Linked DNA regions of Elephas maximus indicus. The protein of the gene in region 1 purifies or fractionates together with the protein of each later gene. This does not show direct contact. Links are inferred from orthologs where the notes say so. Each region holds a gene or a part of one and is shown in the gene's direction. Other genes may lie near its edges.

Region 1 (7,953 bases):
AGAGCTGTACTCTCATAGGAAGGGATGTACTGTCCACTTCAGGGAAGCCTTCCAGGTTTTGCTTATTTGCTTCCTGGTCCTGACCCTCAGTTGTACCCTATTAATTCCTTGATAAAACATTTCATTGTAAATATGGTCTGTGAGTTTTTTGTGGCCATTGCAACGAATTATCAAAACCAGCAGAGAAGTAGAGAGTGCGGGGGCGGGGAGGTGGGGGACTGACGTCAGAAACAGTGAAAAGTTGGAGAGTTGAGGTATGTCTGACCTCCACCTCACAGGAATCAGCTTTGTGCTGATCCTGATTCTTATTGTCCCTTGACAATTTAGATGAGTTCTGACAGTATTGCTATCGCAACACAAGCAGTAACTAGATCTGACCAGTCAATTCCAACTCATGGTGATCCCATGTGTGTCAGAGTAGGGCTTCTGTTTGCTTGTTTTTAATTTAATTGTGCTTTAGGTGAAAGTTTACAGCTCCAGTTAATTTCTCATGCAAAAATTTATATACATTGTTTTGTGACACTGGTTGCAATCCCTGCAATGTGACAGCATGCTCCCCCTTTCCATCCTGGGTTCCCCATGTCCATTCATCCAGTTCCTGTCCCTTCCTGCCTTCTTGTCTTTGCTTTTGGGCAGGAGTTGCCCATTTGGTCTTGTATATTTGATTAAACTAAGAAGGACGTTCCTCTTGTGTGTTATTTTTTGTTTTGTAGGCCTGTCTAATCTTTGAAAAGTAGGCTTCAGGAGTAGCTTCAGTTCTGGGTTAGCAGGGTGTACAGGGGCCATAGTCTTGGGGGTTGCTCCAGTCTCTGTCAGACCAGTAAGTCTGGTCTTTTTTCATGAATTTGAATTTTGTTCTACATTTTTCTCCCACTCTATCCAGGATGTAGAGTTTTCAACGGCTGATTTTTTGAAAATAGATCACTAGGCCTTTCTTTCAAGGCACCTCTGGGTGTACTTGAACATTCAACCTTTCAGTTAGCAGCCAAATGCATTAACCATTTATATCACTCAGGGACTCCTTAAAGTAGCAAGGGGCTAGAGAAATTGGGCTGCTCAGTGACAAGGCCCAGTCTTGATAAGTTCACATAGGGCTTTACCAAAGAAATGCAAGTGTACAAAGATGAAAATGAATTAAAGTCCTAAATTACTATTCACATCAGGAAAGCACTAAAAAAGAAAACTAGAGGAAATTTCTGTTCTAATATGCTTAGTTCTCTTTCCTGCCTATGTGCCTTGGCCATGAAAGTCCTTTTATTTAGGTCATTTAAAAGTATTTCTTAATTTCCAAACTTAGGAAGGTTTTCTAGTTATCCTTGTATTATTTCTAGTTTAATTACATTAGGTCTGAGAACATCCTCTCTAAGATCACAGTCCTTTGAAATTTGTTTATGGCTTAGAACATGCTCAATTTTTGTAAATGTTCCACGACTGCTTGAAAAGAATGTATTCTACAATGATGGGTGCAGTCTTTTATGTCTATTAGGTCAAATTTATTAACCAGGTTGACAGGTCTCCATATTCTATCAAGTACTAAAAACAGATGTGTTAAAATCTCCAGTCTTTCTACCCGGAAGGCCTTTCCTCCTTACCTCTGCTTACTTGCTCAGGTCTCCATTCCACAATCAGAGAATCAATGATGAGCACAGTCTGCTCTGGTCCCTGCAGACTGGTCCTCGTCCTCGAGAGCCTAAGAAGACTTCCCTGATCATCAACACCTCCCTAACACCATTTCAGACCTAGGAAAATTTCTCCCTCCTCTCCTTTCTTACAGCATTCACTGCCTTTTCTACTAATTCAACATTTACATAATCTGTCTTCATTATAATTGTTTGTGTTCATAATTTGCCAGGTTTTAAATTCAGGGAGGGTAAAGGCTACCTTATTTCTTTTATAACAGCTTTTGTTGTTGTTTGGTGCCGTCAAGTTGGTTCCAACTCATAGCAACCCTATGTACAACAAAATGAAACACTGTCCGGTTCTGTGCCATCCTCATGACTGCTGTTATGCTTGAGCTCATTGTTGCAGCCACTGTGTCACTCCATTTCATTGAAGAGTCTTCCTCTTTTTTGCTAACCCTCTACTTTACCAAGCATGATGTCCTCCTGCAGGGACTAGTCCCTCCTGATAACCTGTCCAAAGTACGTGAGATGTAGTCTCACCATCCTTGCTTCTAAGGAGCATTCTGGCTGTACTTCCTCTAAAACAGATTTATTCCTTCTTTTGGCAGTCCAGGGAACCCTGATGACATAGTGGTTAAGTGCTACTGCTGCTAACTAAAGGTCCGACAGTTTGAATCCAGCAGACGTTCCTTGGAAACTCTATGGGGCAGTTCTTCTCTGTCCTATAGGGTCGCTATGAGTCGGAATTGACTCGACAGCCACAAGTTTGGTTTTGTGTTTTTTTTTTTTGGTTGGGCAGTCTATGGAATATTCAACATTCTTTGCCAATGCCATAACTCAAAGGCATCAATTCTTCTCCAGACTTCCTTATTCCTTATTCCAGCTTTTGCGTGCATATGAGGCAATTGAAAATACCATGACTTGGGTCAGGTGCACCTTAGTCCTTAAAGTGACATCTTTGCTTTTCAACACTTTAAATAGGTCTTCTGCAACAGATTTGCTCGTTGCAATGCATCGTTTTATTTCTTGACTGCTACTTCCATGGGCGTTGATTGTGGATCCAAGTAAAATGAAATTCTTGACAACTTCAATCTTTTCTCCATTTATTATGATGTTGCTTATTGGTCCAGTTGTGAGGATTTTTGTCTTCTTTATGTTGAGGTACATACTGAAGACTGTGGCCTTTGATCTTCATCAGTAGGTACTTCAAGTCTTCTTCACTTTCAGCAAACAAGGTTTGTGTCATCTGCATAATGCAGGTTGTTAGTGAGTCTTCCTCTGATCCTCATGACCCGTTCTTCCTCATATAGTCCCACTTCTTGGATAATTTGCTCAGCATACAGATTGAATAGGTATGGTGAAAGGATACAACCCTAACGCACACCTTTCCTGACTTTAAACCACACATTATCCCCTTGTTCTGTTCTAACAACCACCTCTTGACAGCTTTATTGAGATATCATTTACGCACCATAAAACTCACCCTTTTAAGGTACATAATTCAGTGGAAAGCTGTCTCATTTATCTTGGCATGCACTATACAAATGATTCTCAATCTTGGATGCATATTGGAATCACCTAAAGAGTTTAAACAATACTGTTGCCTGGCTCTAACCCCAAAAGATCTGAACTTAATTGTTTGGGGGTGTGGTCTGGGCATTGAGGTTTTTCAAACCTCCCAAAGTGATTTTAACTTATGGCCAGGGTTGAGAACTACTGCCCTATAGCATTTTGTGCATAGCAGGCACCCAATGATAATTTGTTAAAATCATCAATTAGCCCTAGCTTCCAATATCAAGTTAATTAACTCACCGAAGAGCTACCATCCAGATCTAATACCCCATCAACTCATCACATAATGGTTTGCTACATGTGTCCGTCCCACTTAGGTCGTTTGAAAGGGAGACTCACAAACTCATTTAGAAAAGAGGTTTCCTTGTGAAGACATGCAGACTTCAGTTGAACAGGATCACTGAATAAGACACAAAACAGGTATTAAAGGAAAAAATGTAAAGGAAAGATTTACCGCGTTTACATTTGTCTCTTGCAGCATAAATGACATGCTCACATGGGGAGATACTGTCACAAAGATGGTGACATATCCCCAGATTTCTGCATTCAAAAGTCAGAGATAAAATGGTTTTCATTAGGGCATCAGTAATTTATGGAGAAACCTCAAGATTTCATTCGAGACCACATGTAAAAGTACTTCTGCCACTTTGTTTATCTCAGGGTGTCTTTGTTATTGTTTTGCTTTTTTCTTCTTGTGGGACTTGTATACTCTTCGAATGACAGCAGAGCAGTCTCATTTTTGCTTCCACAGCTGTGAGCGGCTCCAAGACAGGGACCGTTCAGGTCTTGTACATTAGCGCATTCTCGTGCTGGCACATGTTAGGTGTTCAATAAATATTGGTAGAATGAATGTGATCACATCTCTTCTCACAATATTTACATATGATTTAAACTGTGTAGGGGGCTGCAACCAGTTTCCCGTTTTGATCCTTTTTGCGATTCTTAATTATGACACTCTGAACTGGGGCACTCCGTAAACTGCCTGGGCTACAACAAACTCCAAAGGGGCTTTTACTTCCACGAAATCGGTTGTTGAAGGTAAGAAAGGGATCTGTGAAAGCAAAGCCGCACACTGAGTAGCAAGGTTGGTCACTCCGGGATGAATGAATACAAGATTCTCGCGCCTGGGAGCAGTCCCATAGAAAGGCGATTCTTGTAACACCACTTAACACCTGCCATTGACACCTTCTTCTCAGAACCTAATCCCGCAGGTCTGCATGGGCTTTCCGAGCCGCGCCCCCTAATTCGCAGCCACAGGACTCCCTCGCGGGCAAGTTACGCCCCAGGTCGCAAAGCGGGACAATTCGGGAATCAAGAAGACAAAGTAAAACTAGGTGCAAGAAGGAGAAGCAGCTTATTTAGGCAGCCAGCTACTCCCTCAGAACCTCCACCCTGTCCCCTGGGCCCGGCGCTCATACGGTGCCGGACTCCAAAAGCCCAAGCTCTCTCCACGTGTCCTCTCTTCCCAGAAGCCTCCTCTGCTGCCTCGGGAGGAAAACCTCCTGACAACTCGCGGTCTGTGGACTACGACTCCCAGAAGGCACCGCGCCGCTTCTCTCTCCGCCCCCCCCCCCACGGGACACGCAGGCGCTTTGGGCTTCGTCAACAAGCCGGGCTGGCGTCTCCTGGATGAAGTTCCTGATGGGATTTGTAGTTTTTCTGGCGCCAGCTGGGCGGTCGGTCAAAGGAATGGGAACTACAAGTCTCGGCGGCCTAAGCGTGACGAGTCGTCACGTGGCAGGGGGCCGACCGGGCGTGCGTGCCGCCGTTGATCCGGTGCTGCAGTGAGGAGGTGGTTCTCGCCCGTGTTGTGTGTGTGAGAGAGCGAGTGAGTGAGTGAGTGAGTGAGTGAGTGAGTGTGTGTGTGTGTGTGTGGGGGGGGACTCGGCTTGTTGTTGTCGGTGACTTCCCCCTCCCCTTCACCCCTCCCCCTTCCCCGCCGCCGCTGCAGTGGCCGCTCCCTGGGCCGTAGGAAATGAGCGATAACGATGACATCGAGGTGGAGAGCGACGTGAGTCCCGGGGCTTCTTCTTCCCGTGCGGGTTGTCAGGCGGGGACAGCGGCTGGGACTCTCAGCGGGGCGCCGGCGGGAGGGGGCCGGGCTGCCGCCGCCTCATTTCCCTTCTCTCCGGGACTTGGACCGCTTTAGTCGCCCTCCCGGCTCGCTTCCTTCCCAGCTCCTAAGCGGAGGGGCCTCCAGGGACTGGAAGTGGGGAGGAGACACGCGGCCTATGGGACCCCCACCTCCCCTGAGGAGGAGGGTGCTGCGGCCGCCCGCTCCTACCCTATTCCGCTCAGGATCCAGGGGACAGGGGTGGGGTGCGCTCGGGATCCCATTGTCCGGATCCTGGGAAAGGGGACGGTGCTCAGAACCTGTTCTCTCGGTCTGCGATCACTTTTTCCTGTGACCTGCGGATCCTGGGGGTGAGGGAGGGCAGAGAGGGATTGAGAGTGTCCAGAAGCCCCGAGCTGGGTGCAAGGGGGAAGAGACAGTGCTCGGGACCCCCTCCTACCCCGGTCGGATCCGGAAGGAGAGGCGGCGCTCAGGACCCCCCTGCCCCGCTGCCGGATCCCGCTGAGGGGTTGGAGCGTGGGGTGGGAAGGGAGGGAGGGGGTCGGACTGACTCCCTACCCGCCGCTTCCTCCGCCGCCGGCATTTTCTAATTATTGAATATGAAGTGTAAAAATAACTTTTATATTTTCTATTTTTTTTTTTCTCTTATTTCAGGAAGAGCAACCGAGGTTTCAATCTGCGGTACGTCTCCTACTCTCCATTTCATTTTCATTTCCGTTCAGTTCTAGTACATTTGGGGGTCAGAGAAAAAAAGAGATCGTTCTATTTTAACATTGTAGTAAATCTGTTAACCGCTAAGGTGAGGTGGGGCCTTGTTCTGGGATTCCAGGTATTGGGGGAAGGTTGCAATTCTCATAATTCCAGACTCTCGGGTGATAGGTTCCAGTGACTGTGAATGGGATGAGCTGTATGTGAAGAAAGGAATCGTTCCAGTAGTTTTCAGATGGGGAATCTAGCCACCACACTCTAAAGCAGGAAATGAGAAATACAGCGTTCTGAAGTAGACTGTAGCATAATTTCAGGGCAGTGTCCTCAGAAGATGTAGAACAAGGAGGTTCCAAACAATATCTGCATATTAGTCGTGAGTGAAGCTGAAGCACATGCAATCACCTTTAACCAAAAGTCATGTGACTGCTGTAGACCTAGAATCTGGCATGTGATACTGTAGTGCAGAAATTGGAAATGTAGAGGAGCCAGAGGTTGAATATGAAAGTGTCACATGCAGCTTATTGTGGTCTGACTTTTTATATTTGAGTTGAAGGAGAAGTATAAAAAATAGGAAAATTGTTGGAAGATGTGGCATTGGCAGACAGGTTTGCTAAGAGATGAGGACTCCATACACTGTATGGACTCCATACAGTGTTATCAGTAATTTATCAGGGTTATTAGTATTTTTAGTAGATGATTCTGTGGATTTAGGTGTACACTAATCTCATGTCTTTGGAGACAGAGCCAGTACTGTGAGTGTTCTGTGAATAATAGATTAGAGGGGAAGAAGGAATAGACAAAAAACAAATCAGAGAAGTGAAGGGAGAAGTATATCAGAGTATCTAATATATGACAGTGGGAAAGAAGGGTATAGAATAGGGATCAACAATTCAAATGTCTGTGGGGGCCAGGCAGCGAGATAGTTAGGAATACAGCAGTGGGAAGAAGTGAGGACTGGGGTACTGGGGAGCACACACCTCTTCTAAAAAGGCAGCCACTACTCAACTCCAGTGAGTTGTTACTATGTAGGGGTGAGGGTTCAGTGCTGACAGGTTCCCTATTTTTTTTAAGAAAGATTTGGAACCCGGATTTTTATGTTATTCTGATTTTTAAAAGAATGTGTGGAATATTCAAGCTGTTTAGTGGCTGGTTAGAGTGTGCATGATGCCACTTTGATACTTCTGGTATACGAATTTAATTACCACAGGATAAAAGCAGGCACTCTTGTACCTGCTCTTTATTAGAGCGAGCAAAGATTGTGCAAGTGGCCCAAGCAGATGCACAGTAAGAAAAGTGTTGCTTTTAAGAACTGATACTTCCATTAAACTGCAGGATACAGTTGTCCCAGGAGTCCTAAAAATTGTCCTGGAAAATAGTCGCTAAGAAGATTTTTTTTTTTTTGCCTTAGGTCTTTGAAGTATTACCACATACCTGTATTTGTACATATATTTGAAAATTGAATTCCTTATTTGGTTATTATTATCTCTAATAATTTAGAGTCTGTTTACATTAACTGATGTATCATGTTCACGGCCCAGTCTATTTGAAACATTTTTTCCTCCAAGTTTCCATTTTTAAGATCTGCCCCAGGGCCTGGTCAGGACTGGCGGGTAGGGATTGACTAGAGCTCTCATAGGCTTCCTTTGCAGACTTACCCATTCAATTGGAATTATTTTGACTCTCCATTGAGAGAAAAGCTTTCTTTGTGAGGTTTTGGCTCACGGTTCTTGAAAGTGTTCTGCTTTTCAAAATATTGAAAAGTTGATGTAAATTGGTTTATTAGATTATTAAAATGCCTCTACTCTCTTAGAATGCCAATCTCATTGTTTTCCCTAGATGTTTTTAGTTTGGTGTTAAGGTGCCTAGGATTTTTCCCTTAGATTTTGGGGGTTAGGGAAGGCGTGTGGGTTTGACCCTTTGTTTTTATTTTGACATATATACTTGTTAAGACTTTTAAGATAATCACAACAGCGTGGA
Region 2 (7,102 bases), on another chromosome or scaffold:
ACAACTTCAATATTTTCTCCATTTATCATGATGTTGCTTATTGGTCCAGTTGTGAGGATATTTGTTTTCTTTACGTTGAGGTATAATCCATACTGAAGGCTGTGGTCTTTGATCTTCATTACTAAGTGCTTCAAGTCCTCTTCACTTTCAGCAAGCAAGGTTGTGTCATCTGCATAACGCAGGTTGTTAATGAGCCTTCCTCCAATCCTGACACCACGTTCTTCTTCAAAATAGGCCATCTTTCAGATTATTTGCTCAGCATACAGATTGAATAGGTATGGTGAAAGAATACAGCCCTGACACACACCTTTCCTGACTCTAAACCCTGCAGTATCCCCTTGTTCTGTTCGAACAACTGCTTGTTGGTCTAAGTACAGGTTCCTTATGGGCAAAATTAAGTATTCTGGAATTCCCATTCTTTGCAACGTTATCCATAACTTGTTATGATCCACACAGTTGAATACCTTTGCATAGTCAATAAAACACAGGAAAGCATCTTTCTGGTATTCTCTGCTTCAGCCAGGGCCCATCTGACATCAGCAATGATGTCCCTCATTCCATGTCTTCTTCTGAATCCAGCCTGAATTTCAGGCAGCTCTTTGTCAACGTACTATAGGTTAGTAGTCAAGCAAAAATCTTCTGCACCACCCACGGATCTTTTATAAGAATATCTTCTTCACAGGCAGTTGTGTGAGAAGGCACTTGCAAGCTATACAAAATTCAATTTCATTTATTTCTTCTCTGTGCTCCCACAGCATGTTATGCGCGTTGTAATTTAGTTCTTACACTTCCAGGTTATGTGTCTCCACCAGGCTGGGTGCCCCTGGAACACAACATAAGGTCCCTGTCAGATTTAGTTGTACCCTCAACACCTAACCTACTGCCAGGCACATGACAGATGCTGTGGCAGTTAAGGTTGTGTGTCAGCTTGGCTGGGCCATGATTCTCAGTGGTTTGGCAGTTATGATGCAGTCTGGCAGTCATAGGATGATGGAGTCACTTCCATGATGAGATTTGATATAATAGGATCACCTCCATGATAGGATCTGCTGTGAGTAGCCAGTCAGTTGGAAGGGAGTTTCCTTGGGGGTGTGGCCTGCATCCAAAATAGGTGGATTTTCTGGCAAGGCCCACAGGCTTTTGCTCGCTCTGGATCTTGCTCCTGTTCATCTGACCTCTAGTTCTTGAGACGTGAGCTAGCAGTTTATCTGCTGTCTTGCCCACTGATCTTGAAATTCATCAGTCTTCGCAGCCTGTGAGCCAGAGCCAAGTTTGCCAATCTTGGGTTTGCCAGCCCCCGTGGCTATGTGACTCAGGAGAAGCCTCCAGCCTGACCCACGGACTTGGGATGTTCCAGCCTTTAAAACCGCATGAGCCCCACTTCCTTAATATAAATCTCTCTACATATATATTATATATTTATATGCTTTACTGGTTTTGCTTCTCTAGAGAACCCAGGCTAAGACAGATGCAAGTGTGTGACATGTGTGAGTGATTCTCAGGGTAAAGCTGATAGGTGCTGTCAGTGCCTGGAGGTGTGTCCCAAACAAGTCCCTGACTCTCCACAGCTGTTCTCATGCCATTTCTTCAGCCTGGAGTGCCTGCCACCCCTATCCGGACCCACACCCACCTCACTCACCTGACCCCATCTCTGACTGTAGAATCCCCCAACTAGTCAGAATCCTCTCAAGGATAAGCATACCAAATTAATTAATCAGCCGTGGAATTCAAATTCTGGCTCTACCGCTACCTAGCCAGGACTTGTTAATCCTCATTTTCCTGATCTACAAATTGGGCAGAAAGACACATATCTTTCAGTTGTGACACGAGAGTTTCATGAGAAAATGTGTGCAGAACATTTATCAGAATGCCAAACACGTAGTAGATGCTGGATAAATGTCTATTATCATTATCACTACTCCTCCTATTACTACTACTCTTCCTCCTCCTCCTCCTACTGATACTAATACTACTCATACTACTACTACTCTTACTCCTACTCCTCCTCGTCCTCCTAATACTACTCCTACTACCCCTACTCCTCCTACTGCTCCTACTTCTACTCCTCCTACTACTCCTACTCCTCCTACTACTCCTACTCCTCCTACTCCTCCTACTCCTCATACTCATTTCCACGTGCAGTCACATTGATAGATACATGGGTGGGGCTGCAACATATTTAGGGTTAGGGGATATAACTCAACCCATAACACTTCCTCTACCCATCAGGGACTGCAGGAAATGCTGAGATGGTCTCTGGGCATCTCATGCCCTGAGTACCACACTGCCATTGCTACTTCATCTACCGTGGTGTCTGTGCCATGGTCATACAGGACTTCCCAGTGAGACCTGCCACCTCCCTGGGCCTCACCTGAGTATGCTGTCTGCTCTGAGGTCCTCAAACTTACCTGCTCATGTCCCCCACCCTCTTGGGACTGGGTACAAGGGAGCAGGTTCAGGGTCCTCATTCTCACATCTCTATTGTTTCCTTTTCCAACTTTCTTCTTGTCACCAGATAAGAAAACATTTATTCTGACTGGAGTAAAGGAAATTGATTCAGCCTAATCATGAAAGGTCTTCAATCTCTCATTGAATCTTATCCTTCGAGTTTAAAACTTTGTGTGTGTGTGTGTGTGTGTGTGTGTGTGTGTGTGTGTGTGTGCATGTTCTCAGGCCTTATTCCGACAGTTCTCCATTGGAACAAGGAGGCCGCAAGACTTGAAGTCCGAACAGTAGAGAAGACAATTACTGCCCCATCGTACAATTTCAAAATACTTTGATAAGAGCCAGGTTAGAAACATGCATGGAGTCCCTGCGTGGTGTAAATGGTTAAGTGCTTGCTGCTAATTGAAAGGTTGGAGAGGTTCGAGTCCACCCAGACGTCCTTGGAAGAAATACCTAATTCTGAAAAATCAGCCATTGAAAACCGCAGTTCTACTCTGACACACCTTAGGATTGTCATGAGTGGGAATTGACTAAACTGGCAACTGGTTAAAAAAAGAAATATGCGCAGGATACTAGTTGAGGGCTAGGAGAGGGGGAGAGGAACAAATATGGAAAATCAAACAAAGACTAGGGGAATGGGGAAAAAGAAGTAGTTTTCTGAAGAAAGTGATGGCTAAGTTGAGTCAGCTAGGACCAGTAAAAACGGGAAATTATTGATTCCAGGCAGAGAAAGTAAGATGTACAAAGATCCAAAAGTAAGAGAGTATCGTCCCTATTCTGAAACTGAAAAATCAGACCGGACCTCGGTGTGTAAGGGAGAGAGACACTCCAGGTGAGGCTTACTTAAGGGGTCCCTGGGAGCCACATTGTGAAGCCCTTGTGTGCTATGCTGAGGAATTTGTCATTGGCGGGTTAGAAGGGAAGTGACATGTGACCATAATATAAAAATGTATTTGTTTCTCTGATCTTGGATCAAGTCTATGCCAAACTCAAATGTGTATCTCCTGTGTCCAGCAAACACCTGACACAATAGGTAATCAACAATTACTCATAAGAGGAAAAGAGGAAGGAGAGACAGAAGCATCTAAGGAAACAATTGCGCAGTGGTTTGGTTGCCAACATTTACTAAGCATCAGCTATGGGCAAGAGCCTGTGATGTGCAGAGGGAACTACAAGAATAAAGTAGCATCCCTGCGTGCTCAGGTTTACTTATTAATGTCAGTAATTCTGAGACCACAGTGGCGTTTTCCCGGGTGTCTCTTTTCTCTGGAGGAGTCCTGCTGGTGCAGTGGTTTAAGCTCTGGCTGCTAATTGAAAGGTCGGCAGTTCAAACCCACGGGCTGCTCCACGGGAGAAAGATATGGCAGTCGGCTTCCCTAAAAAATTACAGCCTTGGAAACCCTACGGGGCAGTTCTACTCTGTCCTGTGGGGTCGCTGTGAGTAGGAATCGACTGGACGGGCAACATGTTTGCTTTCTTTTCTCTCATCCCGGTTCCCTACCTCTGGAGTTCCTGCCCCACCTCTTCCTTTCCTTCGCCACCCTCTCCGAAGGATCCGCCGTCCGGGATTTCCCGCGCTCCGGCCAGCCCGCCGCTGGGAATAGATAAGTGCGTGGGAGCGCTGCGGTAGCGGCAGCGGCAGCGGCAGCGGCAGCGGCAGACATGCGCAAAGGGGGCGGCGCACCGCGCATGCGGGAACATGGCGGGCCTGACATCTTGAACAGTAGTGGGTCACCTTCCTTTCCTCCCTTCTGTGTTAGCGACGCTGAAGTTCGTGGGGGTAGTGACGCTCCTGTGTGTAGGGCGGCCTAGACAGGCGGCGCCTCGGAGGAGTCGCAGGATCTGGTTCGCGCTGAGCCCCCGGAAAGCCGTGTGTTGGAGGCGTAGCTCGATCAGAGCGGGAGAAGGCGGGAGAGTGCGCAGGGTGCGAGGGGCGAATGGCTGCTCGGCTCGGCAGCATGAGTCAGCAGCGGGCACCGAGGAAATTGCCCAGCCTCCTCGTGAACCCGGCGGAGGAGACCATTCGCCGCCGCTGCCGAGACCCGATTAACGTGGAGGGCCTTTTGGTAAGCCACGGGACCGTGGGGTGGAGGGTCTCGGGCACCGGGCCCTCTCTGGGAGGAGAGCCGGGCTGGCCGTCGTCTGTATTATGAGCTCCCCCAGGGCTTCCCCTCCGTCTTCCCGGCTCTCCCACTGCCCATCACGGACTGTGAACCAGACTGGCTTATTTGCTCCTACATGTGTTGTCAGCTTTTTTGGCTCTTCCCTCGGGGCTCCAGAGCACTTTTAGAGAAAACTGCTCAGCCTCGCACGGTAAATGCATGCTTGTCTACCTAAACTGGCCGTTCAGTACATCTCTGCAGATTTGTTTTTCTCTTCAGCGTCTTCTCGCATTCTCCCGCTTAAATGCAGAGGTTTAAATCCTTGTCCACATCTCACATTTCCCACCCTACAGCTCTCCATTCAGTAAATTAGCTTCTGTCCTGTTTCACAGAGAAAGCAGAAGGGAGATTTGGCTCCCTCTCTGCAGAAGCCTTATTTCGTCTATTCTTGTTCTAGACTGGAAGTTCTATTCTCTGGGGTTCTCAGGGCACATTGATGGACCCGTCATTTTCTATTTCGGTCGATATTTTCAGTTTCTCTGCTGGCTTCTTTCTGTAACTTGTGATAGCTAAACAATTACTGAACAGTCAGATGCCCGGTTTTCATGTCAAATGGTTTATGAATATTATCTCATTTAATTGCTCACAGCAATCCTAAGAGATAGGCACTGTTACAGTATTATTCTTTTTTTTCTGTAGTGGTGTGTGCTGTGGAGTTCTTTCAGACTCACAGTGACCCGATAGGGCAGAGTAGAACTGCCCCATAGGGTTTCCCAAGCTGTAATCTTTACAGAAACAGATCGCCAGGTCTTTTCTCCCGTGGAGCCGATGGGTAGGTTCTAACAGCCAACCTTTTGCTTAGCAGCCGAGCACTTAAACGTGTGTGTTACCAGACCTACTGCGATATATCTAGTTGATTCCGACTTATAGCTGCTCTATGGGACAAAGTAGAACTGAAAAAAAAATTTTTTTTTTTTCATGGGACAAAGTAGAACTGCCCCATAGGGTTTCCAAGGATCAGCTGGTGGATTCGAACTGCTAACCTTTTGGTTAGCAGCCAGCTATTGACCACAGCTTCACCAGGGCTCCTTATTCTTGTTTTATGGTTGCCGAAACAGATTTGGAGATGTTAGGTGATCTGCCCATGGTTAGATAGCTGGTAAGATAGCTAATGAGCCCTGATTTAACCTCAGAATATCTGACTCCAGATGATAAATTCTTGACTGCTTAACTGATCCTTGTCTTAAAAGACTGTCCCTTAATTTTATATCCCCTTTCATCTGCTGTATGTCTTCCCCTTCACAGACAAGCTTCTTAAAATAGTTGTTTGCACTCACTTTGTCCGCTTCCCCACCTCTCATTAACTCTTCAACCCACTGCTCTGGGACTTCTGCCCTGCCCACACCTCTGAAGGGTTGGAACCAAGCTCATCATCCATCTTGTTAACTCTGATTAGATGTTTCACTCGTCTCCTGTAACTTTCACACAATTAACTACTCTCTCTTGTTCCAAAGTCTCTCCACTGAGCTTCTCTGACACCGCATATTCTTGGTGCTCCATCTACCTGTCTGGCTTCCATTGTGCTCCTTTGCAAACTCATCTTCCCCTTCCCATTCATTAAATGTTGGTGTTTTTCAGGGCTTTTGCTTACCTTCTATCTTGGTAAATAGTACCACACCCACCGTATTGCCCAAGCCAGTATCTTAGGCATCATCCTTACCGTCTCCCATCTCCAAACTGACCCCCTTCATCCTCCCAATCCAATTAAAATTAACCAGCAATACTCACCACTTCTAACCATTACCTGTTTTTTTAGATTATTGCAGTGTTTTCCTGTTTCCAGTCATGCCTCCCACTTTCTCATATGTTCTCCACATAGTAACCATAATGATCTTTGTAAAGTATATTTCTGATCATGTCATTTTGTTTAAAGAATCTGTCATGATTGCGTAGTGCTCTCAGAATAGAATAGAATCTCCTTAATGAAATGTGGCTCCTGGGTTTATCTTTTCAGCCATCCTGAACTGCTTATAGTCACTAAAGTTTTCCATATCCTTTCTTAACCCCCAGGTCATCACATGTGCTGTTTTCTTTGTCTGAGATGATTATGTATACTGCTGAGTGTTTGGTGGAGCCCTGGTTTCACAGTGGTTAAGAGCTCGGCTGCTAACCAAAAGGTCAGCAGTTCGACTCCACCAGCTGCTCCTTGGAAACCCTATAGGGCAGTTCTGTTCTGTCCTGTAGGGTTTTTTAGTGTTTGGTGTTGCCTGAGTAAGTGAGGAGAGCGCAGTCACCTCAGAGAAAGGTGCGTTTCCAAAAAGCTCTCGAAGGAATGTTACCACCCAGAACAGAGAATTGGGAAAGAGGCATTTGTGAAGAGAAATGTATAACCAATTTTGAGGCATCGCTTCGTATTTTAGTCCCTGAGATTCATCTTTTATTCTCTTATTCCACCTTGGAAGAAGCGTCTGAGGTCATTTCAGGCTTCGGCCAGAAGTAATAGGGACAAGGGACAGCGTGCTAGCCTCTGAGATCTCAGAATAGAAGAATAAGGC
Region 3 (7,987 bases), on another chromosome or scaffold:
GTATAAGATGGGAGCACCCAACTCTTTCCCTAGTTCTTCCCTCAAGTCCACTACAGGGTTCATGCCAGCCTCCCCACTTTCCCACACCTTTCACGTAGGGATTGCCGTTCTGATCTTCACACAACCGTAGAGTCTGTCTCTTGCGCTGCTGGCTAGGTGGTTCTAACAGGTCATAGATCAGCTCATTGTAGATCTCAAAGAAGGATATCCAGATGGAGAAACGAATGTCTGCTGGGACACTTACTGGGGCAGTGTCTGGCTGTGCCCATCGGTGACTTGTTTCTGGGGAAGAAGCCAACGTACAGAGCATCAACCCTAGAGTGTCCATCTCCCCTTTGGCCTGGGGATCCTTGGAAGGCAGAGCTCAGGCTGCAACCTCTGGTTTGTACCCCTGGCAGCTGCTGGGAACAGGGAATGGGTTCCTGTTACTTGGCCAAGAACCCAGTTATGGTACGTACCATCCAACTGGCTACTGCTGGTCAACTGACTAGTAGAGGAGAGCCCAGCAATGCCACTATCAAAGCTGGTGCTGGTACCCATCCGACTTTCAATGTAGACACTTCTCTTCAAGGAGGTGGACAGCTCCTCCTGGAGAGGCCCGGGGAAAAGGTTAAGCACAAAACTTTCCAGAGATTTGTACCACTACCCCACCTCTATAGACACCAACACTTCACCTCTTGGAGGCCTCCATTTAGCAGGGCTAGCTTCTTCATTTCTTCCTGCCGGATCTGCTTGCTGTCTAGCCAGATTACCTCATTGGAGAGCAAAGGCTTCAGATCAGGCGTCAGATGAAGTTGGCCTTGGAGGCTACTGAAGATCAGAGCCAGGGACCGGGGCAGGATCCCTCCATCCTTGATGGTCCCTAGAGGTTATGTGAAAGATGGACAGCTGAGGTAAGTGCCTTTCTCCCCCTAACTCACAGCATCGAAAGCAAAGACAACACCATTACAGGACAATCAGCAATCCTGTGAGGCCTTACCACTTACCTTGAATTGTGTGGGTTTTCCCTGAGTTGGTGACTCCATATGTATAGATGAGCCGGTTCTGCCCTCTGAGTACATCCTTTACCATCTCCTTCATTGTCAGGTTGAAGAAGGATGCCTGTCCCACTTCTGGCCCAAAGATCTAGAGACAGAACCAGTTCTTCAAAGGCCCATCCTTTATCTACCACTTGTCTCCTATGCAAACCCAGCAGATTCATTCCTTCCTGGGTGGTGGCTCTGGAGTCCACTTAAGCAGCTTCCTCCTACACTGCTACCAGCTGCTCCCTCAACACTGAAGATTCAACCAGTCTCTGTTACTACATCTTTCAGCCAAATCAACAGATACTTAAGGAACGCTGTACATTAGGTGCAATGCTGCACACACAATGGGGTAGTGTAACGGTCACAAAGGCGAGTTTTGAAGATGGATGGATTTGGATCCAAGTCCTAGCTCTACCACCAACTAGCTACATGGTTTTGGTAATGTTACTTACCTTCACTGTGCCAGAGCATCCTTTTCAGGAAAACAGGGACAATAATAGAGTTGTGAATAAATGCACATATAGTACTTGACAGAGTGAACTAGCAGATAACACAGACCCCCCAAATTGTAGGGGTGTATAACGGTGTTTCATAATGGTGTGTGTGTGTGAATACCCACAGACAGAGAGTGAGAGAAAGAAAAGCTTTCTTTCCAGAGAAAACAAAGTTGCCTCTACATGCTGGTCTCTTGTTCACAGCCCAGTACTTCCATACCTGGGAAAAGGTGAACCTGTGGGTAGCTTGGCCAATCCCACGTTCATTGCTTTTCAGGGCAAAAGAGTCCTTGGGTGCTTGTAGAACAAGAGTCTCTGCGTTCTCGATGTGGATACAACTCTGAGAAGGGGGGAAACATGGTTGTCACAGAAGGAAAAATTCCTGGGAACCTCTTCTGTACTGTATCATTCCATCTTGAATTGTCCCTCCTCAGACACTTACCTGATCCTCCTGCCGTTCCAACTCTGAAGGTAACAAGGGTCTGATCCTCAGGTATACTTTCACCTTCTCTGTACTATCCTCAGATAGAACCTGTGGCAGAATTCCAGCCCGGAACCACATTAATCTCAGCTGTCACCTCTGAGCAGATGGACAAACACAGCATAGTTCCTAGGAATCATGCTGGCACTACCCCAAAATTACGGACTTTTTCACTAATCTGTCACCCTTCCCTGTCTCATCAGTATCTTGCAAAACTAGCTTGCAAGATAATTGCTACACCAATTATCTGAGTTAGAAGTGGTGCACCAGGATAGTCTGGTAGTTTACAGTGAGAGACATCAAGATCCCTGCCTCATGAATCTCTCTATAGGAGAGGAGGCTTCTGGGTAGAGTTTTTCTGAAGACAAAACATGTTAACATATGTTAAGCATTTAACATTGGGTCTAGTACAATGGCTGTCAACCAAGGCCTTTCCCTGTCCCCTTGCCCCTGTGGACACTTAGCAGCATCTGGAAACATTTTTAGTTGTCACACTGGGGAGGTGCTACTGGCATCTACCGGGTTGCGGCCAGGAATGCTGCTGAACATCTTACAATGCACAGGACAGCACATCCCCCCCCCACAACAAAGAGTTATCCAGCTACCAACAATAATGTGGTTGAGAAACCCTGGCCTAACAGAAAGAAGGGTTCAATAAAAGGAGCCCTAGTGGTGCAACAGTTAAGCTCTCAGTTGCTAACCAAAAGGTTGGCGGTTTCAACCTACTCGGCAGCTCTGCAGCAGAAAGACTTGCTTCTGTAAAAATTATAGCCTAGGAAACTCTATGGGGCAACCAAAAACAATAACATGGTTGATATTATTAAAACATGAGTATAAGTTCCACCTACTTAATGGTAGTATAATCTTGTGTGAATAATTTAACATGTATGTGCCTCATGGTAAAAGAGAAATAACTATTATACCTCCCTCACAGGAGGAACTAAGAGCATGCACATAACATTTCACTGATGCAAAACAAATACTAGTTCTTATGGACATATGCATGTGAAAGCTGGACAATGAATAAGGAAAACCGAAGAACTGATGGCTCTGAATTATGGCATTGGCAAAGAATATTGAATATACCAAGGGCTGCCAAAAGAATGAACCGATCTGTCTTAGAAGAAGTACAGCCAGAATGCTCCTTAGAAGCAAGATGGTGAGACTTCATCTGATGTACTTTGGACACATTATCAGGAGAGGCAAGTCCTTGGAGAAGGATGACGTCATGCTTGGTAGAGGGCCAGCAAAAAGGAGCAAGACCCTCAATGAGATGGACTGACATGGTGGCTGCAAGAGTGGGCTCAAACAAAGCAATGATTGTGAGAATGGTGCAGGACCCAGCAGTGTTTCATTAAGTTGTGCATAGAGTCACTGTGAATCAGAACTAACTCGACAGTACCTAACAACAACATCAACACGGATACATACCTCTATGTTTTTTACTTGTCCTGGCACTTAATTTTAAACTCTCAGACCCCTGTATGGACTAGTAGGCTGGGGTTATCACTTGCTGCCTCCAAACAGCTCCTTTACCTGCTGCTTATCCTCCAGGGAGGTGGAGATGACAGAGCAGTCTGAAAGCAGGTCCTTGCGTATCACAGACCCCAAGTCTGCAGCTGTAGACTCAAACATGGGGGAGACTGCAACCTCCTCATCAGACAGCAAGCCCACTGGCGGAGAAAGGATCCCTTGAGACATGACAGCAAGGGCAGGTTTGGTCTAAAAAGAGACAAGAGTGGATAGGGAGAAGAACCTTAGGGACAGAAGGGGCCTGTGAATTTCTAGGTAAGAAACAATGCCCTTGCCCCAGGACACCTGGTCTGGACGCCTGAATTCCTACTGCCTTTTCTTTCCAAGGAAACCCTGGTGGCATAGTGGTTAAGTGCTACGGCTGCTAACCAAAGGGTCGGCAGTTCGAATGGGCCAGGCACTCCTTGGAAACTCTATGGGGCAGTTCTACTCTGTCCTATAGGGTCGCTATGAGTCGGAATCGACTGGACAGCACTGGGTTTCGGTTTTTCTTTCCAAGGAAACCCTGGTGGCTTAGGGTTCAGAGTTCGGCTTCTAACCAAAAGGTCGGCAATTGGAATCCACCAGGAGTTCCCTGGAAAACCCGTGAGGCAGTTCTACTCTGTTTTACAGGGTCACTATGAGTTGCAATCGACTCGACGGCAACGAGTTTGGGTTTTTTTGTTTTTGTTTTTGTTTTTTTTGCTTTTTCTTTCCAAAGTCTTGCAGAGGGAAAGGGGTGGGAGGAGTTAATTCCTTAACCCAGTCTCAGGCGGCATTTCCATCTTAACAGAAAAGAACAGAGATATCTGGCTCTAAAAGCAGAGAGCCACGCTCCAAGTGCAGTGCCTCGCCCTCCGATACTGTGAAACACGGGCGGAATCCAGAGTTAGGATCCGGAGGCTGCTTCTCCAAACTCGCCCCAAGGCCAATCGTGAATGTAGAAGTGTTCAGAAACAGAGAGATGGCAGCAGCTCCGCTCCTGAAAACACGTTCAGGGAGGGCAAGAGTTGTTAACCCCGGTTCCAGCCCAGGCGCACACTTACCCGAAAGCCGAGACACTCGCTCCCGCTCCGGTACCAGCTTGCTCACACACAGCAGCCGAACCTGGACCTGCGCCGCGGAGGACCACGACTCCGCCCACGAGGCGCAGCTTTGTTACTGATACAATGTTTTAAATTACGCGCTGCGTTCGTTCGACCAATCAGATAGCAAAGCCTGCAGTTACCAATCAGAGCATGGAAGGAGGGCGGGCGAGACTAGGAGACCGTTTGCTTTAGGTCGACCTCGCTTCGGTTTTGCGCGTCCGGGTTACCAACTGCCGCGAATCTGTTGTTGGGTCCCCAGGGATTCGTCACCCTTAACTGTTTTCTTGAACCCTAGACATTTCTTTCCTAAGAAGTCTAAAGGAAAGCCTGAGGTTTCAGCCGCCATCTCCTGTCCTTCCTTAGCAACACCTTCTGAGGAGCGCTCCAGAGGATTGGATTATTGTGCTTGCTTCCTCCCGGGAAAGAACTACATTTCCCAGGAGCCACCGCGAACAAGCGCCCGTACTCTATTTCCCAGACTTCCACAAGGTTCGCTTTGGCTGAACCCTCGTCGGAGCTTGGAGACTTCGAAGCTAAGATGGCGGCGGGAACGGGCAGTGAGTGTCAGTGCTTCTTTTGCGTGGAAAGCCTTAGTAGAGCCGAGGATAGGCACCAGGTTTCTGTCACACACTTAGAGAGTGGGAGGAGTGGTTTGCCTGAGAGCCCAGGGTCTTCAGAGACCTGCGCTGTACGGCGTCGTGAAGGCCAACGGTTAGAGGCCCAGAAGTGCAGCGTCTTGTGTCTCTGGGAGAGAGGGTGTGAGGGAAGCATCTCAACGAATCCTAAAGGGATAAAGGCCCTTAAGAAACTTGGGCGTGCAGACAAAGAGACGTTGTGCGCCTTACGGAGTGGCCGGCATCTCAAAAAATCATTCATTTTTTAACGAACGTTTGTGAGGCACTGGAAATAAGATGTTTTAACCGGGAGCTTTTTCTGCCTTTAGGGTAATTGCGTTTCGTGCAGCTCAGCCATTTCCCTCCGTTTGGTGGATAGAAAAGGTCTTTTAAGTCCCACAGTAAACAGCGGGGGTGGACTGACAGAAATAAGCAAGTTTATGCTAAAAAGGAGGCGGGGCGGCAGGAGGAGGTGGCCGTTCAGATTCTGGGAAGTAAGCCCTTGTTTTAAAATTGGAAGAAAATATGAGTGAAATAAGGCCTTTCGAGAGAACTGCTTAATCTGACATTAATGTTTTAATCTGACATTAATGTTTTAATCTGACGTTTTCTGTTTTTTAATGAAGCGAAGCTTGAAGCTGTGGCCTTTAAGAAAGTAAAGTGTTCTTCTGCCTTATTAAAAACTCATTGCCATTGAGAAGATTCTGACTCATACTGACCCTATACAACAGAGTAGAACTGCTCCACAGGGTTTCCAATGCTATAATCTTTACAAAAGCAGACTGCCACATCTTTCTCCTGTGGAGCTGCCTGACCTTTCAGTTAGCAAGAAAGTGCTTTAACCACTGTGCCAACAGGGCTCCTTCTACCTTATACTCAGTGCAGCTACCATGTAATGGATAAGTACCACTCTCTAGTGGTGATATTTCACTGTATGGGTGGATATCAAGATTTGGGAATACTGTTGCTGTGGAGATGATTCTGACTCATAGTGCCCCTATGGGACAAAGTAGACCTGCCCCATAGGGTTTCCAAGGCTGTAACCTTTAGAGGAGCAGATTGCCACATCTTTATCCCGTGAACAGCTGGGGTGTTAGAACCATGGACCTTTAGGTTAGCAGCCCAGTGCTTATCCACTGCACCATAGTAGCCCATTTTGTTCTAACACGTTGGGATGTTTTGTATTAGGCCTTTAGTTCTCCCTTTGGGGCTTAGAACTAGTGTCTCAGTGGTTGTGCTAAGCCTTCTCTCCTTTTAGAACACAAGCTGCTGAGTACTGGCCCCACAGAGCCATGGTCCATCCGGGAGAAGCTGTGTTTGGCATCTTCTGTTATGAGGAGTGGAGATCAAAATTGGTAAGGTATCTAGGAGGTATGTTTTTTTAGGTCTTAAAAACTGTAGGATACTTTTTCATGCTGGTGGATTTATATAGTTAATCATATTAACCTTTAAGTACTATTTTTCTTTTTAAAAAGCACCTTTATTGAGATGAAATTCATATACCATAAAATTAATTCATGTAAAATATACAATTCAATGATTTTTAGTATAAGCACAGAATTGTATAACCATCACCACAGTCTAATTTTGGAACATTTTCATTACCCCAAAAAAGGAACCCTTTAACAGTCACTCCACATTCCCACCTTCACTCATCTCTTCTAGTCCTAGGCAACCACTGACATAGTTTCTGTCTTGATAGGTTTCCCTATTCTGGGACATTTCATGTAAATGGAGCCATATAATATGTGGTCTTTTTTTGTGACTGGCTTTTTTCACTTAGCATAATGCTTTTAAAGTTTATTCTGGTTGTAGCATGTATTAGTGCTTCATTCCTTTTTATGGTTGTGTAATATTCCATTGTATGGATATACTACCTTTTTTTTAATCCATTCATCAGTTGGTAGACATTTGGGTTGTTTCCAACTTTGATTATTTTGAATAGCCCTGCTTTGAACATTCTGTACAATTTTTTGTGTAGACGTGTTTTCAGTTCTCTTGACTATATATGTAGGAATGTAATAGCTGGGTAACTGTATGTTTAACTTTTTAAGCAACTACCAAGCTGTTTCCCAGAGTTGTACCATTTTACATCCCCATCAGCAATATATGAAGGTTGCGTTTTTATCATATTCTCGCCAACAGTTGCTGTTGTCTTTGATTATAGCCATCCTAAAGGGTAAAAAAGTGGCATCTCATTGTGGTTTTGATTTGAGTTTCCCTGGTAACTAATGATTTTGAGCATCTTTTCAGGTGCTTATTGGACATAATGATGGGGCCCCTGTGGTGCAGTGGTTAAGTGTTTGCCTGCTAACCAAAAAGTCAGCAATTCGAATCCACCAGCTGTTTCCTGGAAACCCTGTGAGGCAGTTCTACTCTGTCCTGTAGGGTTGCTATCAGTCGGAATTGACTTTACAGCAACAGGTTTTACTTTGGTATTAGACATATGGCTATCTTATTTGGAGAAATTTATTCAAGTCCTTTGCCCAATTTTTTTATTAATACAGTTTATTTTTTAGAGTAGCTTTAGGTTTGTAGAATGTAAAAATGGCATGGGAGCAGACTCTGACCTCTTCACTTTTCACAAGGGGAAAGGAGAATCAAGATCAACAGTCCAAGGCTGATTGCTATGAGGTGGAGGTCAGTCATGCCTCCTTTATCTGCCATCTATACCATTTCTGTCACCAGCCATCTTTCCCACAGCACTTTCTACTTCTCTCCTGGGTTTAATAGTTCATTGCAGTGGCCACACAGAACTCACAGACAATGCATA
Region 4 (7,464 bases), on another chromosome or scaffold:
TCAGGTGGTAGGAGTGAAGGGATATAGGATCTGTTTTGGAGGTAGAACGACCAACATTACTTGTTGACAGCATGTTGGGTTTACAGGTGGGGAGAAGGGATTGAAGGGGAAAAAAAAATCAAGGATTTCCTAGAATCAAACAAAAATGAAAGCATAACATATCAAACCTTTGGGACACAGCAAAGGGAGTACTCACAGGGAAATTCATAGCAATAAATGCCTACATTAAAAAAGAAGAAAGATCCAAAATAATTAACTTAAAATGACAACTTAAACAAATAGAAAAGGAAGAGTAAAAGAAACCGAAAAGGAAATAATAAAGATCAGGGCAGAAATAAAGAAAAACAATAGAATCAACAAAACTAGAAGTTGGTTCTTTAAAAGTATCAAAAAAACAGACAAACCACTGGCTGGATTAAAAAAAGTAAAAAATCAAAGGAGGCAAATAACCAAATTAAGAAATGAAACTGGTGACATTACAACCGACCAACAGAGATAAAGAAGATCATTACAGATTTCTATGAAAAATTATACTCCAACAAATTTGAAAACCCACATGAAGTGGACAAATTCCTAGAAACACGCCACCTACTGAAACTAACACAGAGGTAGAAAATTTAGACAGACCCATTACAAAAGAAGAGATTGAAGATGCTATCAAAAAACTGCCAAAAAAAAAAAAAAATCCCAGGACCAGATGGCTACACTGGAGAATTCTACCAAACATTCAGAGAAGAAATGGCACGAATCCTACTCAATCTCTTCAAAAACATAGAAGAAGAAGGAACACTACTGAACTCTGTGAAGCTAGCATAACCCTGATACCTAAACCAGGAAAAGACGTCACAAAAATATATCCACAAGATATTTTTGTGAATATACAAAACTGGATATCCACAAAAATATATTCCTAAATCTGGGGAATATAGATATGAAAGCCATCCTTGATATCTGGCAAAAGAGTTGTAATTCTCCTGGAATCCAGATTTCTGGCTTTCATGTAGGTTGAGATAACCCACACAGGCTACTGCCTTTGGGTGTCCTTTTGAACCTGGGACTTTGATGGTAAATCAGTAATTAGTCTAATTAGTCTTCAAGACAATGCTGTATGAAACACCTAATGTTTGTAATCAAACTGTCACCCCCTTACTATGCAGAAATTTATGTATCTTAAATAAACCAAGTTCTCAGAGAAGATGGACCTCATGGCCCAGACTCCATTTTGTCTTCTGCTTCTGAGAAAGTAACCCATGCTTGTTAATAGGAGGGGCAGCTTGCTCTCAGGAAAAACTGCTTAGAATGTTTTAAATAGATTAACTGGAGACCTCCAGCAGGAGAGGTCCACCCTCTATTGTCTTGATAATCATGTATTCTCTAACGGAAACTTGGTTGTCACATGTAAATTTTTCTGTATCTTCTGTTTTCTCTAGACAAATTTTGTGTGCTCCTTATGGATATATGTTTTTGTGTGGTGGATCCAACTACGCTAGTTTCGATGATCCTTTCCAACTGACGGTGAATTTATATGGTCAATGTCTTGTTTAGATTCCTGGCGAATGCGTGGGCAATGCACTTTGGGAATTTTAGGATTACCTTTAGATATTCATAGTAATGATGCTAGTAAATATTGGAAAAGTGATGTTAAATCGTTACACATTGTAAAACGAGAGTCAGGAGAAAACCCACTTGTCCAACACTCAGGGTAGGGTTGATAGCTTTAGTTCCTACTTACACTATAGTTGAATTGGAGGAAACTTTAAGAAGTTTATCAGTTATCATGGGACCAACAGCAGATGAAGTTGCCAAGTGGAATGGAAGCACAATGGCAGTCTCTGACCTCATTAAGTCACGGTGACATGAGGTAACAGATTAGCTCTTAGATTTTTTATTAGCCCAAGAAAGTGTAGCCTGTGCTGTAGCAAATACCTCTTGTTCCATTTGAATAAATAACACAGAAGTAGAACAGGATATATGTAGACTGGACAACATGCTACTTTGTTACACGTTGTAATGCCCTTATAAACACCACATTTATTTGGTTGTGTTACTGGACCTCCAGGTCTCGCTGGGTGAGACTCAGAGACACAAGTCAGATGAAAGCAAAAGAAGAAAACTTGATTTGGCTGGCCTAGCAAAGGAGCACACTGGGACCTGCATTGCCAAGATGGCTCCTCAGTTGGCAAGCGCAGGGGTCTATATACGGAAAGGAGACAGGGTAGGGGTGGGCTCTTCTTCAGGTGTGTTCAGGGTGTGTCTAGGGGCATGGCCCATCAGGATTAGTGGACAGTCCCTGCATGGCCCATCAGGATTAGTGGACAGTCCCTGTAATGATGCTGAGGTCATCAGATAGTTGATGCACTGGGGCCATCAGTGAGGGACAATGCCAACTGGGCGGAGCTGCCCGCCTCACTTGCCATCCTGCGGTTTCCCACCTCAGTTAGTTACCATCAGGAATAAGTACATGGGTTAGATCACTATTGCAAGAATAATAATATTCTTACTCTGTGTCTTGATAGTATTAGGCATAATAAAATTTACCTTCTATTGTCTTACACACCTAAAAGGCAAAAGAAGGCCTCGGGCTAAAATGTTGGTGTACATTGAATCTGCTCATTTTGGCAATGAGATTGATGAGAACATTGCTCTTCAGATCCTGGTGACGGTATTCAGTGGAAATCCAGCACCATTAATTTAAAGAGCCTCCATCTAAGAATATTGAGTCCAGGTATTGATCATCAATGTATTATCGCCAATCTCTGATCAAAGGAAATGATTTAGGAGATAATATTGGAGCCATTGTTCCCTGTCCTAAAATGTGACCCAGCTGGAGCTGGACTCACAAGGACACATCAACTGGGCCCTGTGGTATAAAGATATTAGCTAGGACAATCTTAGGAAACATCTTTTAGGGAACTTTTCAAATAAACAAACAGTGCGCAAAAGACCCACATACCTTCCACTCTTATCTTTTTTCTATTAGCATTTAGCAAATAATAAGATTTGTTGGATCAGTGAGGGCCCTCCTGTCGTTACTGAAACCTGTACCAACGATTATTAAGAAAGACTATTCAAAACATAGAATCATGGCAATTTGGCAGTTTTTAGCGAATCTGTGAAAAGATGAAGCTTTCAGTGGTTTGGCCCATTTGTAATGTTAATATATACTGATTATAACACTCCTTGGACTCAGACACGCTCTGGAAGCATGTTTGTCTGTTTCCCCACTTTTGCTTATTCTGTAATATTCCTTAGACGGGCAGTCATTGGCGCTGGAACCACGCTTGTCCATTTCCCACTTTTACCTCTTTGAATATGTGCCGAATAAAACCTTTTTGTTTTACTAAACTTTGTGATTTTTTACCCTAGAACATTTAATTTTTTTAATGAAAAACAAAACTTTATTTTAAAAAAAAAGACCACTTTACCTTTTACACAGTGTGTAGAATAAATTGTTGTTTTACATATATCCAGCCTCCACTTACTACATTTAGAGTCTCAATCAGGACACAACGTAGCATCCCAAACCCAAACCTGTTGCGGTTGAGTCGATTCCGAGTCCTAGCGACCGCATAGGGCAGAGTAGAACCGTCCAATCAGGTTTCCAGGGCAGTAATCTTTCAAGAAGCGACCTTCCACATCTTTCTCCCAGCAAAGTGGCTGGTGGGTTCGAACCTCCAACTGACCACCTTTCCGGTTAGCAGCCGACTCTTAACCCCTTTGCCATCAGGGCTCCTTACAGCACGAGATAGGGAAACACTTCATAGTAAATCTTTAATTCTGCCTAACCGTGGAAAGTATCTAAACCTGGAGAGCCTTCGATGCCTCATCTTTGAAACGGTGATTGGATGCCTATGGGATCGAGATGATGCTCTTAAAGCGCCACAACAGCGCCTAGAACTCCCCTTGTGTAGGGGGTTTGTGGGAAATCCAAAAGGGATGAGGCTGCGAGCCTCGGGCTTTATTCAGGAAATGTTGGTGGAAGACGAATGTTGGAGAAATTTGAACACGCGGAGCATTTATGCATTGGGCATGAAATTATTCCAGCTTCTGCCTGAATGGGAAATGAGGAGGGCTGCCAGGCATTCAGCCCAAGAGCACCTCACATTTCTCTCTGGATAGACTGCGAAGTCCCACGGGGTTATCCTCCGCGCCTGACACAGTGCCTGTGTAGGTGCTTAAGAACTGTTTAATGAAGAATAGGGCCAGGCTTGGGGAAAGAGACTGGCGTGGAGTTTAAACAGTCAGCGCCAGTGACCTCAAAGCCGGGGCCGGGCGACGTTCACGTCACTATGGCAACGCCTTTACAGGCGTAACCCTCTGGGGAACTATAAGTCCCACAACCGCCCGCGGCTTCCCCGCCCGCAGTGGGTGGAGGCGCCGAGCGAGCGCGGAACCGGCTTTTCCGCCTTCCTGCAGCGTGATTGGCCCGTTGCTCAGGGAGGCGGCCAATGAGTGCGCTCGGGGCGAGCGGCGAGGCCAATATGGCTTCTTACACCTGGTGACGGTTGAAGAAATGGTGTTAGGGCTCATGGAGAAACCCCGGGGCATCGAGGTGAGAGGGTGAGGGCTTAGCGCCAATGGGCATGGAAACCCCGAGCGCTCCTTCGCCTGGCGAACCCTTCTTTAGGCTTTTTAGCGACGCCTTGAGGGTGGAGGTTGGAAGGATGGATGCACTTAGGCAGCTGGGCTGAGCCAGGGCCGCGAGCGATTGCCCTTGCCTTTTGCTTCCCCGCGGCTGGGCTGGACGTCGGGCGAGTGGTTGAGAAAGGAGTAGCCTCCCTGGCCTAGGAGATGGGGCGTTAGACCCAGGATCGGAGCTCTTCTGAATCTTCTTTGTTCTCCCCGTCTCGTGGTCGTGGTCGTATTCTTTAGGGATTGTGAAACTTGTCACATCGTGGTGTGAAGTGAAGGGAGGCTAAAGGTTAAAGAACGCTTACTCAGTGCCTAGAACGGTCACGTGCATTATCTCCCGGGTATACTCGCAACAATCCAGTGTTACTGTTTCGTTCTTAAGGTTACAGCACCTGAGGCTTACGGAGGCGGTGCGACTCCCCAGGAAGGTCACACAGCTGAACTGTGAAGGAAATCTGTTAGGCATGCAGTCAGGCTCCCAGACTCTACCTGTTATGCTTTTTCCACTCTCCTACAACCTGTAACCCAAACCAAAGCCACTGCCGTCGAGTCGATTCCAACTCATAGAGAGCCTACAGGACAGAGTAGAACTGCCCCATAAAGTTTCCAAGTAGCCCCTGGTGGGTTTGAACTGCCGACCTTTGTTTAGCAGTAACACTTAACCACTACACCACCAGGGTTTCCACCTGTAACCCACCTACCTTTAATCATTTGGCTTCTGGGCACTCTACATTTGAATGCAGTTTTCTACCACATTTACACGTGTAGTTGTAAACAGAAAGTAGAATAGCTCAAAAACGCGACAATGTAGAGGTACTGAAGTGGAGAATAGTAATAGCTCACAGTTTAGTTCTGTTACTGCTGGAAGCAGACCTAGCTTCTACATAATTTATCTCATCCTCACCACAGCCCTCTAAAGAAGGCGTTTTATCTCGCTTGCACTGATGAAGAAACTGAGGGTACCTGTACCCATTGCTGTCAAGTAAATTCCAACTCGTGACCCTACAGACAAGAGTAGAACTGCCCTATGGGTTTTCCAAGGAGCCACTGGTGGATTAGAACTGCCAGTGTTTTGGTGAGCAGCTGCAGCTCTTAAGCACTGTGCTACCAATCCTCCAAAACTGAGGGTAGCAAGGTCAAATATCTTGCACAAAATCACATTTAATAATTGGTAGAGCCGGAACACCCAGGCAAATCTGATTGAGAGCCCATACTTTGAACTGTTCAATTTGTATTTTATTTTCCAGACTTGCTGGAGTTAAAAAGGGTCTTTTCAAAACCAAGGAAACTCTATAAAATTAACCTTGTCAAAATATTTTTTAACATAAAAGGTAATGATAGTTGCCAACATTTATTAAGTGTTTGCTAAGTGCAGGTCACTGTTCTGAGTGCTTTACCTGTATTATTAACTCCTTGTTCTGCAAATCTTATGAAATAGGTTTTATTATCCTCATTTTGCAGACCCCAAAACTGAGAGACTGACTTGCTGCTGGTCATATGGCTAGTAAGCAGCGGTGGTGTTATTGTTGTTGTGTGCTTTCAAGTCAATTCTGACTCATAGTGGCCCCAAGTATTACAGAGAACTGCCCCATGGGGCTTCCTACGGGAGCAGATCACCAGGTCTTTTTTTCCCCAGAGCCTCTGGTGGGTTCGAACCGCTGAACTTTTGGTTAGCAGCTGAGCACTTGAGCACTGGCCCAATGCACGGACTCTTCACCTTGCTGTACCTTTTCTACTAGCTGCTAGGTAGATCCGTCTACAGTATCTCATTACCTCTCAGATACTCCTGAGCCAAATATTTTTCTTATTTTATAGTTGAGAAAACTGAGGCTCGGAGGTTAAGTGACTTGCCCAAGGACCCACAGCTAGTTAGGATCAGAGCTAGATCCAAAACTATGGTACGTACCACTGCGCCATAGCTCTCTGTGTGTCATTTGCCTCCTGCCTCCTCGTGTACAGTCTGGGTCCCCTCACTTAAACTGTATTTGAGCTGAGATTCTTTTGGTGTACCTATGCTGAAGGGGAAGAACGAGTTCCTACTGTATGCCTTCCATCCCAGAGTCTTCAGGAGGCATCTGCCAGAGGGTATTTTCATAGTGTTGTTTTCTATTTGAACTCTGTTAAAATATCATCATTTGTAAATCTACAGAATGAACTCAGTGAATTCCTAACTTGTATTTTCTATCCTGTAATGCACTTCATGGAATCCCTGGTGGCGTAGTGGTTAAGTGCTATGGCTGCTAACCAAAGGGTTGGCAGTTCGAATCCACCAGGTGCTCCTTGGAAACTCTATGGGGCAGTTCTACTCTGTCCTAAAGGGTCGCTATGAGTCGGAATCGACTCGACGGCAATGGGTTTGGTTTGGTTTTTGGGTATAATACACTTCATAGGAGCCCTGGTGCAGTGGTTAAGCACTTGGCTGCTCTCTGAAAGGTTGGCAGTTTAAACCCACCAGCCACTCTGTAGGAGAAAGATGTAGGAATCTGCTTCTGTAAAGATTACAGCATTGGAAATCCTATGGGGCAGTTCTACTCTGTCCTATAGGGTCACTATGAGTCGGAATCGACTTGACGGCAATAGGTTTGTCTTTTTTTTGTTGTTTTTATAAAGCTCTTCTGTTGAGTTGTGGTGGAGAAATATTGTACAAACAAGAGTAATGATCCTGGTGTGTGCGAAAAGGTGCCTAAAAGTGTTGATTTGACAAAGAACTAGGTAGGGGGCTGATAACAAATCCACGGCCTCCCTCCGCATGCACTGAGCCAACTTGGATTCCTCCTGCCTGGTTTGTGTCATTCTTCCACTAGGAGACCCCGTTTTCAGAACCAATGGAGG

Evidence for each region.
Region 2: the proteins of MAX (region 1) and E2F6 purify together in Homo sapiens (affinity purification with mass spectrometry; 5 studies listed by BioGRID and IntAct, with this or other methods). This does not show direct contact. The link is inferred for Elephas maximus indicus from reciprocal best matches to the Homo sapiens genes MAX and E2F6.
Region 3: the proteins of MAX (region 1) and bromodomain-containing protein 8 purify together in Homo sapiens (affinity purification with mass spectrometry; 3 studies listed by BioGRID, with this or other methods). This does not show direct contact. The link is inferred for Elephas maximus indicus from reciprocal best matches to the Homo sapiens genes MAX and BRD8.
Region 4: the proteins of MAX (region 1) and L3MBTL2 purify together in Homo sapiens (affinity purification with mass spectrometry; 6 studies listed by BioGRID and IntAct, with this or other methods). This does not show direct contact. The link is inferred for Elephas maximus indicus from reciprocal best matches to the Homo sapiens genes MAX and L3MBTL2.

The regions. Positions count from the first base shown.
Region 1 is NC_064828.1:77,419,773-77,427,725, reverse strand, and holds the start of MAX (protein max), read left to right. Parts: upstream 1-4,940; 5' UTR 4,941-5,169; coding exon 5,170-5,205; intron 5,206-5,922; coding exon 5,923-5,949; intron 5,950-7,953. UniProt on the Homo sapiens protein: Transcription regulator. Forms a sequence-specific DNA-binding protein complex with MYC or MAD which recognizes the core sequence 5'-CAC[GA]TG-3'. The MYC:MAX complex is a transcriptional activator, whereas the MAD:MAX complex is a repressor.
Region 2 is NC_064830.1:26,135,151-26,142,252, reverse strand, and holds the start of E2F6 (transcription factor E2F6), read left to right. Parts: upstream 1-4,087; 5' UTR 4,088-4,382; coding exon 4,383-4,511; intron 4,512-7,102. UniProt on the Homo sapiens protein: Inhibitor of E2F-dependent transcription. Binds DNA cooperatively with DP proteins through the E2 recognition site, 5'-TTTC[CG]CGC-3'. Has a preference for the 5'-TTTCCCGC-3' E2F recognition site.
Region 3 is NC_064820.1:151,248,700-151,256,686, reverse strand, and holds the start of bromodomain-containing protein 8, read left to right. Parts: upstream 1-4,973; 5' UTR 4,974-5,138; coding exon 5,139-5,157; exon of another isoform or gene 5,158-5,163; intron 5,164-5,197; exon of another isoform or gene 5,198-5,216; intron 5,217-6,472; coding exon 6,473-6,569; intron 6,570-7,987. Other genes in the region: kinesin-like protein KIF20A, read right to left, coding at 88-282, 459-588, 675-862, 987-1,125, 1,740-1,859, 1,962-2,051, 3,537-3,701. UniProt on the Homo sapiens protein: May act as a coactivator during transcriptional activation by hormone-activated nuclear receptors (NR). Isoform 2 stimulates transcriptional activation by AR/DHTR, ESR1/NR3A1, RXRA/NR2B1 and THRB/ERBA2.
Region 4 is NC_064822.1:185,384,263-185,391,726, forward strand, and holds the start of L3MBTL2 (lethal(3)malignant brain tumor-like protein 2), read left to right. Parts: upstream 1-4,448; 5' UTR 4,449-4,513; coding exon 4,514-4,552; intron 4,553-7,436; coding exon 7,437-7,464. UniProt on the Homo sapiens protein: Putative Polycomb group (PcG) protein. PcG proteins maintain the transcriptionally repressive state of genes, probably via a modification of chromatin, rendering it heritably changed in its expressibility.